Cricetulus griseus: one gene and its partners. The protein of the gene in region 2 interacts with the protein of the main gene of each other region in a pairwise test. Links are inferred from orthologs where the notes say so. Each region holds a gene or a part of one and is shown on either strand. Other genes may lie near its edges.

Region 1 (4,925 bases), on a different chromosome or scaffold from region 2:
CAGAAAACAAGGCACCATGGCCTTTCACCCCTTCTCGGTCAACTTGCACTACACCTTAGTCACACCTCACCTCAAATTATTATCAACATTATCAACAGAACCCTGAGTACTCAGGATCTCCAGACACTGTGCACAGCCTCCAAGCGCCTTGCCTGGGTTGTAGGGGACTGTAATTATCTACCAGAGATCAGCAAGAGGCTCAAGTTGAAAAGGCAGGTCACAGGCATCACCCAGGCCTTTCAAACCCCCCAGACACTGCATTCCCCCTGCCCTGCCAGCTACACCCACTGTCATTCTGTTTCCAGAAGTGCACATAAAAAAACCCTTAAATTTGGCAAGCACTAAAAATCTTAAAGTGGGAATTCACACATCTAAAAACAATGACTCCGATTTTATGTCCATTTGACATACTCGGTTACCCAGTTTCCTTTACTTCATTGATTCTGTAAACCCCACCAGTTAACTTCGCATTTCTCAAAAACACCCAGCACCCACCTCAGTACCATCCCACCAGAACCCACCACACACGGCAAACTCGGGACGGCACAGACAGGTCTGGTCCTTGCCCTCCTCAGGGAGCACCCACACTGACTGGCAAGATGTTTTTAATCCCCAAATTACCAAGTCTGATAAAGAAAATGAACGTCCCCACCTAGAAGGCTCTGAAGCTCTTCCAAGAGAGCTATTCAATCTTCCACTCAGCACTGACTTTTTGCAATAAACCAAACACACGTGTTGGCTCCTCTTTCAGCTAACACAGACGCCACCTTGCCCCCCTGGCGCGTGTGCGTGCGTCCTGCAGACATGTATGCTGCTAGCCCGCAGCAATCATTCCTCCCAGGGCTGTGAGCCGCTCCAGGCCGGCTCACGAGCCGGGAGGGGACAGACAGGGCCCCTCCAGCCCCACGTCCCCAGGTGCGAGGCCAGGGCGGCCGCCCCTGCAGCCATCTCCCTCCCGGGGTCTCCCGTCTCCCACCCGCCGCCCCCGCGCCCACCTTGATGGCAGTGATGGCGAAGGCGATCTTGCGCCGCCCATCGATGTTGGTGTTGAGGACGCGCAGGATGTGCTGGAACTTCTCGGGGATCACCAGAGACTGAAAGGACACGGGGCTGGGTGTCAGACGCCGCAACGCCCGGGCGGCCGGCGCCCCTGCCCTCGCCCCAGCGCGGGCCCCGAGCCGGGAGGTCCCCACGCGCGGCCCGGCCGCTGGCAACCCGGTGTCCGGGGAGGGACGGCCCCGGGTCCCCGGATTTCACGCCTCAGGCCGTCCCCCGCCGGGGAGGGGGTCGCGCGCCATCGCCCCAGGGAGAGCTGCGCGCCCGCGGCCCACGGCACCCCGGGAGCCCCGACGGAAAGCCCTGCCCGCCCCGGCCCCGATGTCGCCGGATCCCGGCGCGGAGCCCGCGCTCACCATGGCGGCGGCACACTCGGCGGCGTGTAGGCCTCCAGTGGAAGAGGGGGCGGAAGTGACGTGTGGTTCTTATATAGCTCCCCGGGGAAGGGGCGGGGCTAACCGGGGAGCAGCGCTTCCGGAAACGGCCTCTCCTCCTCCCTCCCCTAGCGAGGAGTCCCAACTGGGCGAGTTTGGCTCCGGGATCGTAACTTCCGGTCCGGTCGCGTTTACGGTCGTACGGTTCCCGTTCTGGGCGCGAAGGTTCCGGGGCGGGCACTGCGCTTGAGACGCTGACCTTCGCTTTTGCGCTCGAGCGGAGCGATCTCAGCCTGACGGCAGGGGAGACTGGGGCCCATCGCTTGGGCTCGGCTATCTGGGAACGTTCTCTTGCGCCGAACGAGACGATCTGGGACCTGAGGTTGTGCTTCGGGACGCGGCCCCCCGAGCCCGACAGCTGGCGGAAGTGAGGCTGCGGGGGAATGGCAGCGGCGGCGACCATGGCGGCGGCGGCCCGCGAGCTGGTGTTGCGCGCCGGGGCCTCGGACCTGGAGGAGGAGGAGGGCCCGCTGGTGAGCGAGAGAGCGAGCGAGAGAGAGCGAGCGAGCGAGCGCGGGCCGTCTGTCCTCGCATCGTCAGCTCCTCCCGCCGTCGGGAGGGCGTAGGCTGGGCTCACACCGGGCTCCCCCCGCTGCCGCCGCCGCCGCGGGTGGTGGCCGAGCCTTCGCAGGGACCACAGTGGCAGGAACTCAAGCCCCTCGGGCACACTGACAGCTTCCTATTTCTCACGCTAGAAACAAAAAGAGTAGGAAAGAGAACACACTGTAAAAGACGAGGCGCGTGCGCTCTGGAACCCGACGGCCTTGGTCCCCCTTGTCAGCCGTGGTGTGTTCCGTGCTCGCTTCCCACACCTGCAAAGAGGAGGCGTTGTTATAACGCCCCCACCTTATAGGTCGTCGTTAGGAGTTGGCCGAGTGAGGATGTGTAAGCGAGCACCCGACACACGGGGAAACAGCAGGGAAGCTGACTGTCTTAGCATCTAGACCTCCCTGAGGGGGGCATGGTAGACAGAGGTCCTAAGTCCAAAGGCAAGTTGGGCTAATCCTAGTTTTTCTCATTTGAACACCTCCAGCGACTCCATGAATTGCTTGATTTAGTGACATATTTTTTACTCATTAGCCCAGAAAAGTAGATTTGAGTGTGTCAGGATTGGTTTTTTTTTTTTTTGCAGATTTTTAAAATTTGAATTAGAAACGAGATTGTTTTACATGACAATCCCAGTTCTCTCTTCCTCCCCTCCTCCCTTACCAGCCCCCCAACTAAAACCCTACCTATCACATATCCTTTCTGCTCCCCCTGGATGGTGAGGCCTTCCATGGGGTGCCATCAGAGTCTATGGTATCCTTTGGGATAGGGCCTAGGACCACCCCCGTTTGTCTTGGCTCAGAGAGTATCCCTCTATGTGGATTGGGCTCCCAAAGTCCACACCTACTGAACTACTACAGGAGGTCCCATAGATTTCTGAGGTTTCCTCACTGAAATCCACGTTCCTGGGGTCTGGATCAGTCCCATGCTGGTTTCCCAGCTATCAGTGTGGGGACCAAGAGCTCCCCCATGCAGCTGTTTCTGTGGGTTTCACCAGCCTGGTCTGGATCCCTTCATTTGTCCTTCTCTGCATCTGGATTCCAGTTCAGTTCAGTGATTAGTTGTGGGTGTCTGCTTCTACTTCCACCAGCTGCTGGATGGGGGCTATTGGGTGGCCTATAAGTCAGTCACCAATCTCATTATCAGGGGAGGGCATTTAAGGTAGTCTCTCCTCTGTTGCTTAGATAGTTAGCTGGTGTCATCTTTGTAGATCTCCAGACATTTCCCTAGTGCCTGATTTCTCTGTAAACCTAAAATGTCTCCCTCTATTATGGTGTCTCCATTCTTGTTATCTTCTATTCTTCCCCTGACTCAGCCTTTCTGCTCCCACATCTCTCTCTTTTCCCCCTTCTCATTCTCCTAGCTCCCTCCCCCGTGTGTCAGGATCTTTGACCCACTAACTATGGCTCCCCTGAAAAAGCGCCCTCAACCCACTTTCAGGAGCAGGGATATGCCCTTGTTTTTTTTCTAGCGTTTCTTTCTGTATCTCGCACTCACTAATCTGTCCCTCTTCAGGGGGGTGTTTCTGGTCTCCAAGAGCCCCTGCAACTTGGGGAGTTGGATATCACCTCTGATGAATTCATCCTGGATGAAGTGGATGGTAAGTGGTGGCATGGGGTGGGGGCAAAGTAGCCAGCCCCCTTTATCCTTTAGGAATATAGTAGAGGACCCCCACTAGGTGACCCCCCATACTAACCCCTGCATGTTTTTTACTAATGTAGTGTAAAGTTGAATGAGAAGGGTTACTTTCTAATTTAGGCATAGCAAGAGTGGGGTAATGATGCAGCCCACTGTGATAAATTGCTGCATTGACAGTCTTGCTCTTTGGGATTATTAAGAAAAAACAAAGTGTGTATTTGAACATGGACATGTGCAGACAGCCAGTCTGATCTCTGGGACACTCGTACCACACACACACCATAGATTCATCCAGCAAAGAAAATCCAAATAAATCCAAGGCGGGTGAGAGGCCCTTCAGCTTCTCAGAGTGCCACACACTTTAAAGCCTCCGAGCCACGATTGGGAATTCCCATTTAATATTTTTGGCTTGTGGTTGACTAGACTATGAGGAACTGAAACAGCAGAAAGTCAAAGCGACTGTTCTTTTACCTTGAGAGGATGGGGGCTGGAAGGAAAGGGGAGATTGGTGTGCGGGTACCTGATGCTGGCAGAGGGGGGCGTGGCGCCGGACCCTAGTGATGAATGTCTGTTTCCAGTTCACATTCAGGCAAATCTGGAGGATGAGTTAGTGAAGGAAGCCCTCAAAACGGTGAGGTTCTCCGCTATGCCGATCTGTCCCCGCCCTCCTCTCCTCGGGGTCTTATGTGTCCCCTCTAGCCAGTCACTGAGTCTGTTCTGGTGTCCTTTCACTGTGGCTTCATCCTGACTGTTCCTGGTTTCCCCCAGGGTGTGGATCTGCGACACTATTCCAAGCAGGTGGAGCTGGAGCTGCAGCATATTGAGCAGAAATCCATCCGGGACTGTATCCTCCGCACAGGGGAAGACACGCGCTGTCACTGACCTGGGGTGTGTGGGACCCCGGGACTGTATCCTCCGCAGAGGGGAGACACGCGCTGTCACTGACCTGGGGTGTGTGGGACCCCGGGACTGTATCCTCCGCAGAGGGGAGACACGCGCTGTCACTGACCTGGGGTGTGTGGGACCCCGGAACTGTATCCTCCGCAGAGGGGAGACACGCGCTGTCACTGACCTGGGGTGTGGGACCCCGGGACTGTATCCTCCCCACAGGGGAAGACACGCGCTGTCACTGACCTGGGCTGTGGGACCCCGGGACTGTATCCTCCACAGAGGGGAAGAGAGCGCTGTCACTGACCTGGGGTGTGGGACCCCAGGACTGTATCCTCCGCACAGGGGAAGACACGCGCTGTC
Region 2 (4,759 bases):
GGGGTTTCCCTGCTTGAGGTCCCAAATCCTGATGGTACCATCTTCATATCCTACCACAGCTCTCTTCCCTAAAGACCAAGGCACGAATGACCAAAAGACACAGGGTACAGTCAGATACACCAAGCAAAGAATTAGCAGGGAAAATAGAGTAGAGGACCCCAAAATTCCCCCTGGAGTCACAGTAAGACCTAGTGTGGGGCAGCAGGAGGCTGGGATGACTGGAATACCCCCCAAGTCACTGGATCCACCTCTACCCTCAGGAAGAAGAGACAGCTGCTCTCACCATCAGGGAGGACACGGCCACAGGTTGCAGGGCAATTGGGGCCCTGGAAGGTCTTACAGTCACCATTCGGTACCTTCCACATCCAAGTGTTGCCGTCAGCTGTGCCCGCTAATAGGACAGGTGCCCGAGGGTGCCACTCCATCCACTGGGCAGAGAGGAAGGATCAGCAAGCAAGCCTGCTACCCAGCCAATCTGAGAGTCCATGAACCCCACCCATGTGTCCCTGCTTCTAGGGTTAGCATGTACGTTACTGGTGAACAGACATAGTGCTGAAGCTGAGCTACTATGGTTACTATGGTTCAAAGCAACCTTCTCCAGTATGGCTATGCCTGCCCCTCCCCCTCTGAGAAGTGCTCATCCCTACTTGAGGTCCCACAGAGTTGAAGCCCACTCCAAGGATCTCACCTCCAGGTCTCCTGCTTCAAAAGACCAGACTTCTTCCTTAGTATCAACTTGCCACACTTTCAAAAGACCACTCATGTCCCCTGTGGCCACTAGGGTGGAGTCATGGCTAAAACCAGCACATGTCACAGAGTCTTTATGGCCTGCAAAGAGAAATGGGCAGACTTTCAGTTCAAATGTGCCTGAGGTGTAGCAAGTTCAAGGCTAGCCTTGGCTACATAGTAAATCCAAGGCCAACCCAAACTATGTAACTTAAAAGAAAAAGTGGCAGAAAAGGAAGGACAGTAAAAGGTGTCTAAATGCTGGGGACATATGACCCATATATTTGGCTACCTTTTAAAAAACAACTAACTAGAAAAAAGGTAGGAGGGCCTCAGCAGAACAAGTGACCAAACTCACTGTAGCTCCAGGGCCCAGAAACTCCAGGTGTTCCAAGAAGATACTGTTGACCCCACTGTTCAACCACCCAAAGCCTGGGACTCCCAGGCCATACTTCTGTCTTCTGTTCTCCGTGCCTCTATCTACTCCTACACAGTACCACCTCCTCCCGTGCCCACCTTAGCCACACTCCTTTGGCCAATTAGCACTTCCTGTCCAAGTGCCCACAAAAGTTATTCTTCTAGTGTGGGTTCCTGGATCCAGCACAAGACAAAGGCTAGTAAATAGCCGCTGTGCGTTCACACAGGCCACCTGCCAAGATGTCCAGAGGGACACAACCTCCCAGCCTCTTACCTGCACACTCGAAGAGCAGCTCTCCATCACTGAGTCTCCACACAAAGGCTTTGTCATCTTCACCCCCTGTCACTGCCAAGGTGTTGGTTTTGGGGTCCAGGCTCACGCAAAACACAGATGCTGTCCCAAGAGATAGTCCACAAGAAAGGGGATGGAACTGGGCTCTCACCTAGAGTTCTGGTCTTCAAAACCTTTGGGGAGGCACACCCCTTTTCCCCAAGGCCACAGGTATTCTCTCCTGGACAGGCTACACCCAGTAGCAAGACCCAGTTCTTGTCTGAAGCATTAGGTTGTTAGGGAAATCCTTCACAAGTCCTCCTCCTGCTGCTGTCCTGTTCCCATTACCATCCCACTCTGAGGTACAAGCCAAGCGGTGGGTCCATGGGCACAGCTAACAGCACAGGGTTCCACCAGGCTGGGTATGAATTAAGTGATGGGAGCCTCATGAGACTGGCTTACAAAGAACTAGCTCCTGAGAAGATTATCGTTAAGGCTACTTTTGGAGTGTCACTTGCCTTTAATTTCCACCAGGATTACGTCCATTCACTTTCATCTAAGAGGACTTCTTTTGTTTTTCCAGACAGGGTTTCTCTGTGTAGACCAGGCTGGCCTCAAACTCAGAGATCCACCTGCTTCTGCCTCTCAAGTGCTGAGATTAAAGGTGTGCACCACCACCACCACTACCAAGTTGACTTTTTAAAAAGGAACACCAAGATCCAGAAAGCTAACAAAGGTGATAAACAGCAGAGGTAGGATTTGAACCTAGGTGTCTCACTTGACACCACTGCCAAATCTAATCCCTTTGGTCCTTCCTGTGAATTTCCTGCAGGCTTTCCTATTTGTCTCTCATAATATCCTGTTCAGGGCCAACTGGTCATACTCAAAAGTCCATCTGCACTGATCTGAGGTGAGCCCCTTCAAAGGCCTACCTGAGTGCAATGCAAAGGTGACCTCGCTATCATCCGGACCCTCCATGCTGCCGACCACCCCTTCCTGGGGTTCCAGGACCCAGCCCTCGTCATTGCCCTCTTCCTCCTCCTCTTCTTCCTCAAAGTCCACGTCTTCCATCTCCTGGGCCAGATCATCTGCTTTGGGAAAAGCGTTAAAAGATGGATCTCGAAAGATATAAGAGGAATGGGGTGAAGAGTGAATAGGACGACGCCAGAGTGGGTCATGTGGCCAAAGGTTAAGGTGTCGTCCCACACGTACCGAGGAGGAGGAGAGCGCTTGGGGGGCGGAGAAGGGGAGAGAGGCTAGGTCTGAAGACCTGGCGTTGGCCAGCGACCGTGTGGGAAGAGAGGACAGAGGGCATGACGGGAAGGGGGTGTGTGAGGGGAAGGGCCAGGGGAGGCGTCAGGGAACCCCCACCCAGCCAGGCCTCGAAACTAAGTGTGGGGGGTAGGGAAGGAGGGCTGGGAGAGAAATGTCGGTAGGAACGACCGGTAGGGAAGGGGGGAGGGGGAGGAAGCAGGGGTCAGAGGCCAGGGGTGAGCGCCTCCTGTCCCATGGCCTGAGGAGCGACAGTTCTCACCCGGGTCGGGCGGGCCTGGATCCAGCTCTACCACCTCAATGATCTCTTCATCTCCGTGGAAGCTTAGAGTCTCCAGCGGCGGGGTGTCAGCGGCCGCTCCGCTCTCCGATTCGGACTCCATGCGGCGAAACCTACCGATCCACTTCTCTGGGCCCAAACGCCTCCCAGAGTCAGCTCTGCGCGACGACGCGGAACTCGAGCCCCTCCTCCCGGGAGGAAGTAGGCGTAGGCGACTCCCGGCCGAAAGAGCGACGGAATCCGGACCAATAGCGACGGAGGTGGGCTGACAGAGCCGCCAATCACAAGGCAGAACTGGGATGACCAGGCCGGGGCGTGGCGGGAGAACCCAAGCTCCTCCCGACATGACTCCGCCCCCAGCTGGAGGGAAACAAGCGAGCGTGCGCGCCTCCGGGGTCTCCTGGGAGGAGTAGTTCTCCCGGGCCCGCTACGCGGACTTCTGGGAAATGTAGTTTCTGAGCTGTAGGCACGACGGAAGGCGCGGGGGAGGCCCCTTACGCAAACTACAATTCCCGGCGGGGAGCGCAGTGAAGGGGGGTGGGACCTGAACATGGCGGCGGTGGTAGCTGCTACGGCGCTGAAGGGCCGGGGGGCCAGAAATGCCCGCGTCCTCCGGGGTAAGGAGAGGGACCCCCGGGAGGGCAGGGCTCTAAAAGATCCCATTCCCTTCACATTCCACCCAGCACGACAGCAGGAAGTCAGGCTGCTAATTGCTGTCCATACCTCTCGGCAGGATCTTAGAGAGTCTGGGGGTGAAAGATGCTCTAGAGGTCACCCAATCTAACCCCTGCGTTCAGGTTACACTGCATGTCTAGGGTCTTGTTGATAGAGGGAGTCCCAAAGAAGCCTTTCGTCACCCGCGCGTTCCAGGGGTTTCACACTCACCGCAGTGCAGAAGAGCGAGCCCTGGGCTTCTGGAGGCTTGAGTTCTAGCACTGGGTAATTAGCGGTTTGACCTTGTGCGGAGCAGCTCGTCTCTCGGGGCTTCAGTTTCCTCTTCTATAATACGAGGGGATGGAGTTAGCTATCCTTAGGAATAGCTAAGGTCCTGTAGTTTTAAAACAGTTCCCAGGATTTCCTTCATACGTATGTCTCTGCAGTCCTTCCCAACCGGTCTTCTGAATAGAAAGCAGCAAAGCTCGCTGTCCTGGCACGAGGATGAGGATCCCGCAGTGACGTGGAAGTAGCTTCCAAAGGTGTCACCTCGATGGCGATTTTCCCATTTCTCTTTGGATTCTTCACAGCACTTGTTACTCCAAACTGCAGTCACTCCCCTCCCTCAAAACTCAGCCGCTCCTCCCCTCCCTCATCCTATACTGACCTACCCCCACCGTTCTTTTATTCACAGGGATTCTCTCTGGAGCCACAGCTAACAAGGCTTCCCAGAACAGGACCAGAGCACTGCAGAGCCACAGCTCACCGGAATGCAAGGAGGAGCCTGAGCCCCTCTCTCCTGAGCTGGAATACATCCCCAGAAAGAGGGGCAAGAACCCCATGAAAGCTGTGGGACTAGCCTGGTGAGTTTTAACTGCCCCTTTGCCTACCAGTGGGGAATGCACGCAAGGGATGGATGTCAACCTAGAAACTTAAGTTGCAGATGATGAGCTGAGTCCAAAGGAAGAGAATCGCTGGGTTCCAGGGATAGAAGCTCAGAGTGAGATGGGGGTGAGATGGTGAGGGGAACTTTGAGGAGACTGTCTTACGGTGGAGCAACTTGAGCTGATCTGGTTTGAATTTGGGTCACTGGCTTCATCCTTCCTTTTGGGAGCTGGGATAAGATCCCAGTCTCAGTA
Region 3 (3,405 bases), on a different chromosome or scaffold from region 2:
ACCTTTGCTTCCCTGTATTCATACTCCCAGCAGTCTTGTAAGCTACCACTTTTAGAGGTGAGCTTGACTTCAGAGCATGGACTCTGGATTCCTATCAGCCTTTAACCAAGTCACTCAGCTTGCGGACCTCATTTCTTCTCTGTAAAATAAGTGTGATGGGCTCAGAGGTTAAGAGCACTGGCTGCTCTTCCAGAGGCCCTGAATTCAATTCCCAGCAACCACATGGTGGCTCACAATCAGCTATAATGAGATCTGGTGCCCTCTTCTGTCATGCAGGCATATGTGAAAGCAAAACACTGTATACATAATAAATAAATCTAAAAAACAAAACAAAAAAACCACACCAGGAGTAATTTCAAAATAAATAAGGGCAGTGATACTTTGTGGTGTCAGTGGGGAGGTAGAATGATTCCGTGTAACGCTTGCAGAAGGCATGTATGGTATGTGTGGTGTTCTGATGCAGTTTTTAGTAAAGGTATCTGAGTTTCAGTCAGGTGCTTTGAGCTGCATATACCACCGGATGAGCAGCAGTGTGGCCTGGCATCCTCCTCCAAGCCCTCTTCCTATGTGATCTCTCTCCAGCACTCTGTCCCGTTGGAAGATAGCCTCCCGGGCTTCCCTTGTCCCTAGCTGTGAGCTGCCTGGCATGGTGCTGGGAGAAGTCCCTGAGTCTACTCAGTGTCCATCCCTCACCAGCCTGAATACCAAGGATGTGGTTCGGAAAAGACACAAGAGGAGAAGCCGGCAGCACCAGCGGTTCATGGCCCGCAAAGCCTTGCTGCAGGGGAATATGGCACCAGGGCCAGAATCCTGCCCTCTGTCCTCCCCATCACAGACACCAGCAGACACACAGGCTTCAGGCAGCAGAAGACAGCGTTCCAAAGCCACGCCTGGCGGTGGTGGCCCATGCAGCAAAAGGCCTGTCACCAGAGAAGCCCAAAGGCCTGGGCCCAGCAAATGTGTAGCCATTGACTGTGAGATGGTGGGTACAGGTCCTCGTGGGCGGGTGAGCGAGCTGGCCCGCTGCTCTGTAGTAAGTTACAATGGCGATGTTCTCTACGACAAGTACATCCGGCCTGAGATGCCCATTGTGGACTACCGCACCCGCTGGAGTGGCATTACCCGCCAACACATGCTCAAGGCCATCCCCTTCCAGGTGGCCCAGAAAGAGGTGAGGACTCTGGGGTCTTGAATGGCCTGAATGACAGGTTGGGGAGAGAAGCCCTGGTTTAAATCACCTGGGGAGTGTGTGGCCTTGAGAAGTTACTTCACGTCACCAAATTTGTAGTTCCTTTCCCAGAGTATGGGTTAATATAAATCCAGTTGCTGCCTTTAAAGGGCTGCCAGGCTGTTAGGCAGGGGGCTGCTGGTAGGAAGGTGATGTGAAAGGTAAAGGTACAACAACTTACAAAATGTTTGGAGTCTATAAAATTTGCCTACAGTCCTGTCACATTCAAGGGTTGTTGTTTTAGCCCATCTCTTTATGGTTTTTCAGTGCTTGGAAAAATGATCAGTACTTGGGATCCCACTAATATACTAGGGATGTTTTATCACATCAATAGAAACCCTAAGTAAGACACATTCCATGATGCCCTAAGCATTGCTTTGGAAAGACTTGATCATGAATAGAAGCGGTAGGAAGGTAATCTGTGTGAGCCCTCCCAACTCTGATCCCTCCCATCCGTGTTTGTGGTTGGCAGTGATCCCTGGAGCAGGCTCACTTGGGCTTAAGTCTAGGTTTGATTTCTCCCCACTTGATGGCAGGTGGAGTATGAGACTGGGGGTGACCCCAATCAAAAGTCTAAATGCATCTTACTCATCTGCCACAAAAACTTGGTCCCATGCTAGTAGGGACAGGCTGTAGAAGGCCAACAGCTAATGACCAGGAGTTGGCAGTCCTTTAGCCCTGTTTCTCTGAGCATGGGGAAGGTGCTGGGCAGGGAGGAACAGGATATGTCCAAATAGAGTTGCCTAGCATGTTTAGAGGGTAGGAAGGAAGAGTCAGTGGACTCAGGAGCAAGGAACTGTGTCACTGAGTCTAACAAGGGCTTCTACTTAACTGTGTTTCTAACAGCACCATACATGGTTCTGTTGATTTCATTCAACAGGTCTTTATTGATCAGAAGATCGGTTGGCTGGGAGGCTGAGGTAGGAGGATTGATGTTAGTTCTAGCCTGCACTGCATAGTGAGCCTGTAAAGGACCGGCCCATCAAACACAAGCAAATCAGTAAATGCTGTGCTCTGGGTGAGCATCACTGGTCAAGTCAAAGGAGCTTACTGTGTGGGAGGGGAGACTAGATCATCCCAAGAGCTAAATGTGTGTAAGACGTATAAAAGCTAAATCCATACCTAGAAAGTGTAGATAGCTTCAAAGAAGGACCAAGGCCTCCTAGGTAGATGAGGATAATGGGAGGTCTTCCAAGGAAGGTTGAGGAGCTGAGATCTGAGTGGGTGAGAAGGTCTTGCAGCCAAGAATTGCCTTTGCTAGTGCAAAGCTGCTTGAATCTCCCAATTTGAAGGCATGGCTTACATCCATAGCTTCCTTTACCCTCACAACTGTTTCCTGGAATGCTGAGACAGTATCCCTTTGGCAGGTGCTAAGATGGGTTTGTATTCAAACTTGGGGCATCATGGTCAACTGGGACTCATAGACTCTCCCCTTCCCCACTGCTGCCTCCCTGTAGAGTGCTTCACGCACCAGTGCTAAGGATGCTCAGGTTTGTCTTCCTTCGTGACAGTGGGGCCTTCCTGCTTCCTCTCTCCTCACAGATCCTAAAGCTCTTGAAGGGCAAGGTGGTGGTGGGGCATGCACTGCACAATGACTTCCAGGCCCTCAAGTATGTTCATCCCCGGAGCCAGACCCGGGATACCACTTACGTCCCAAACCTGCTCAGCCAGCCCAGCTTCCACACCCGAGCTCGGGTCTCTCTGAAGGACCTGGCCCTGCACCTGCTGCACAAGAAAATTCAGGTATGCGGTGCAGAATCTCTTGGTGCCAGGGCTCATCTGACTGTCAATGCTGCTGAACTCTGGATAGGACTGTGGACTGTTGCTTGCATACAGGCAGCACTGGTGTAGCCACCTCCTTTCCTGTGTGAATTCCCTAGTGATAGTCAAATTCTTCTAGACTCATCTCTGTAGGTCTTTGCCCACCCAACTCCTGGCTATATCCTGAATCTCCGTAGAATGTGTTCTGACTCACACTCAGATCAAGAGGCCTGTGACTCTTAACTTCTAGAGCAGGAAATTTTGTTTTAAATGTGTGTGGGTGTTTGGCCTGCATGTATGTCTATGCACAACATGTATGGCATATCTTTGGGGGCAGAAGAGGGCATCAGGTCCTCTGGGACTGGAGTTACAGACAGTTGTGAGATGCCATGTAGTGATAAGCATTGAGTCTGGGT

What was found.
Region 1: the proteins of Aamp (region 2) and Vps52 interact in a two-hybrid assay, tested with the Homo sapiens proteins (2 studies listed by BioGRID and IntAct). The link is inferred for Cricetulus griseus from reciprocal best matches to the Homo sapiens genes AAMP and VPS52.
Region 3: the proteins of Aamp (region 2) and Aen interact in binary tests that used the Homo sapiens proteins (3 or more experiments, as listed by UniProt). The link is inferred for Cricetulus griseus from reciprocal best matches to the Homo sapiens genes AAMP and AEN.

The regions. Positions count from the first base shown.
Region 1 is NW_023276806.1:232,057,416-232,062,340, reverse strand, and holds the start of Vps52 (vacuolar protein sorting-associated protein 52 homolog), read left to right. Parts: upstream 1-1,666; 5' UTR 1,667-1,873; coding exon 1,874-1,963; intron 1,964-3,551; coding exon 3,552-3,636; intron 3,637-4,252; coding exon 4,253-4,305; intron 4,306-4,442; coding exon 4,443-4,518; intron 4,519-4,925. Other genes in the region: Rps18 (40S ribosomal protein S18), read right to left, coding at 996-1,094, 1,413-1,415. UniProt on the Homo sapiens protein: Acts as a component of the GARP complex that is involved in retrograde transport from early and late endosomes to the trans-Golgi network (TGN).
Region 2 is NC_048595.1:427,521,117-427,525,875, forward strand, and holds the start of Aamp (angio-associated migratory cell protein), read right to left. Parts: upstream 3,162-4,759; 5' UTR 3,070-3,161; coding exon 2,949-3,069; intron 2,506-2,948; coding exon 2,347-2,505; intron 1,538-2,346; coding exon 1,418-1,537; intron 829-1,417; coding exon 689-828; intron 429-688; coding exon 284-428; intron 69-283; coding exon 1-68. Other genes in the region: probable hydrolase PNKD, read left to right, coding at 3,517-3,583, 4,315-4,483. UniProt on the Homo sapiens protein: Plays a role in angiogenesis and cell migration. In smooth muscle cell migration, may act through the RhoA pathway.
Region 3 is NC_048596.1:118,714,059-118,717,463, reverse strand, and holds part of Aen (apoptosis-enhancing nuclease), read left to right. Parts: intron 1-582; 5' UTR 583-646; coding exon 647-1,171; intron 1,172-2,770; coding exon 2,771-2,971; intron 2,972-3,405. UniProt on the Homo sapiens protein: Exonuclease with activity against single- and double-stranded DNA and RNA. Mediates p53-induced apoptosis.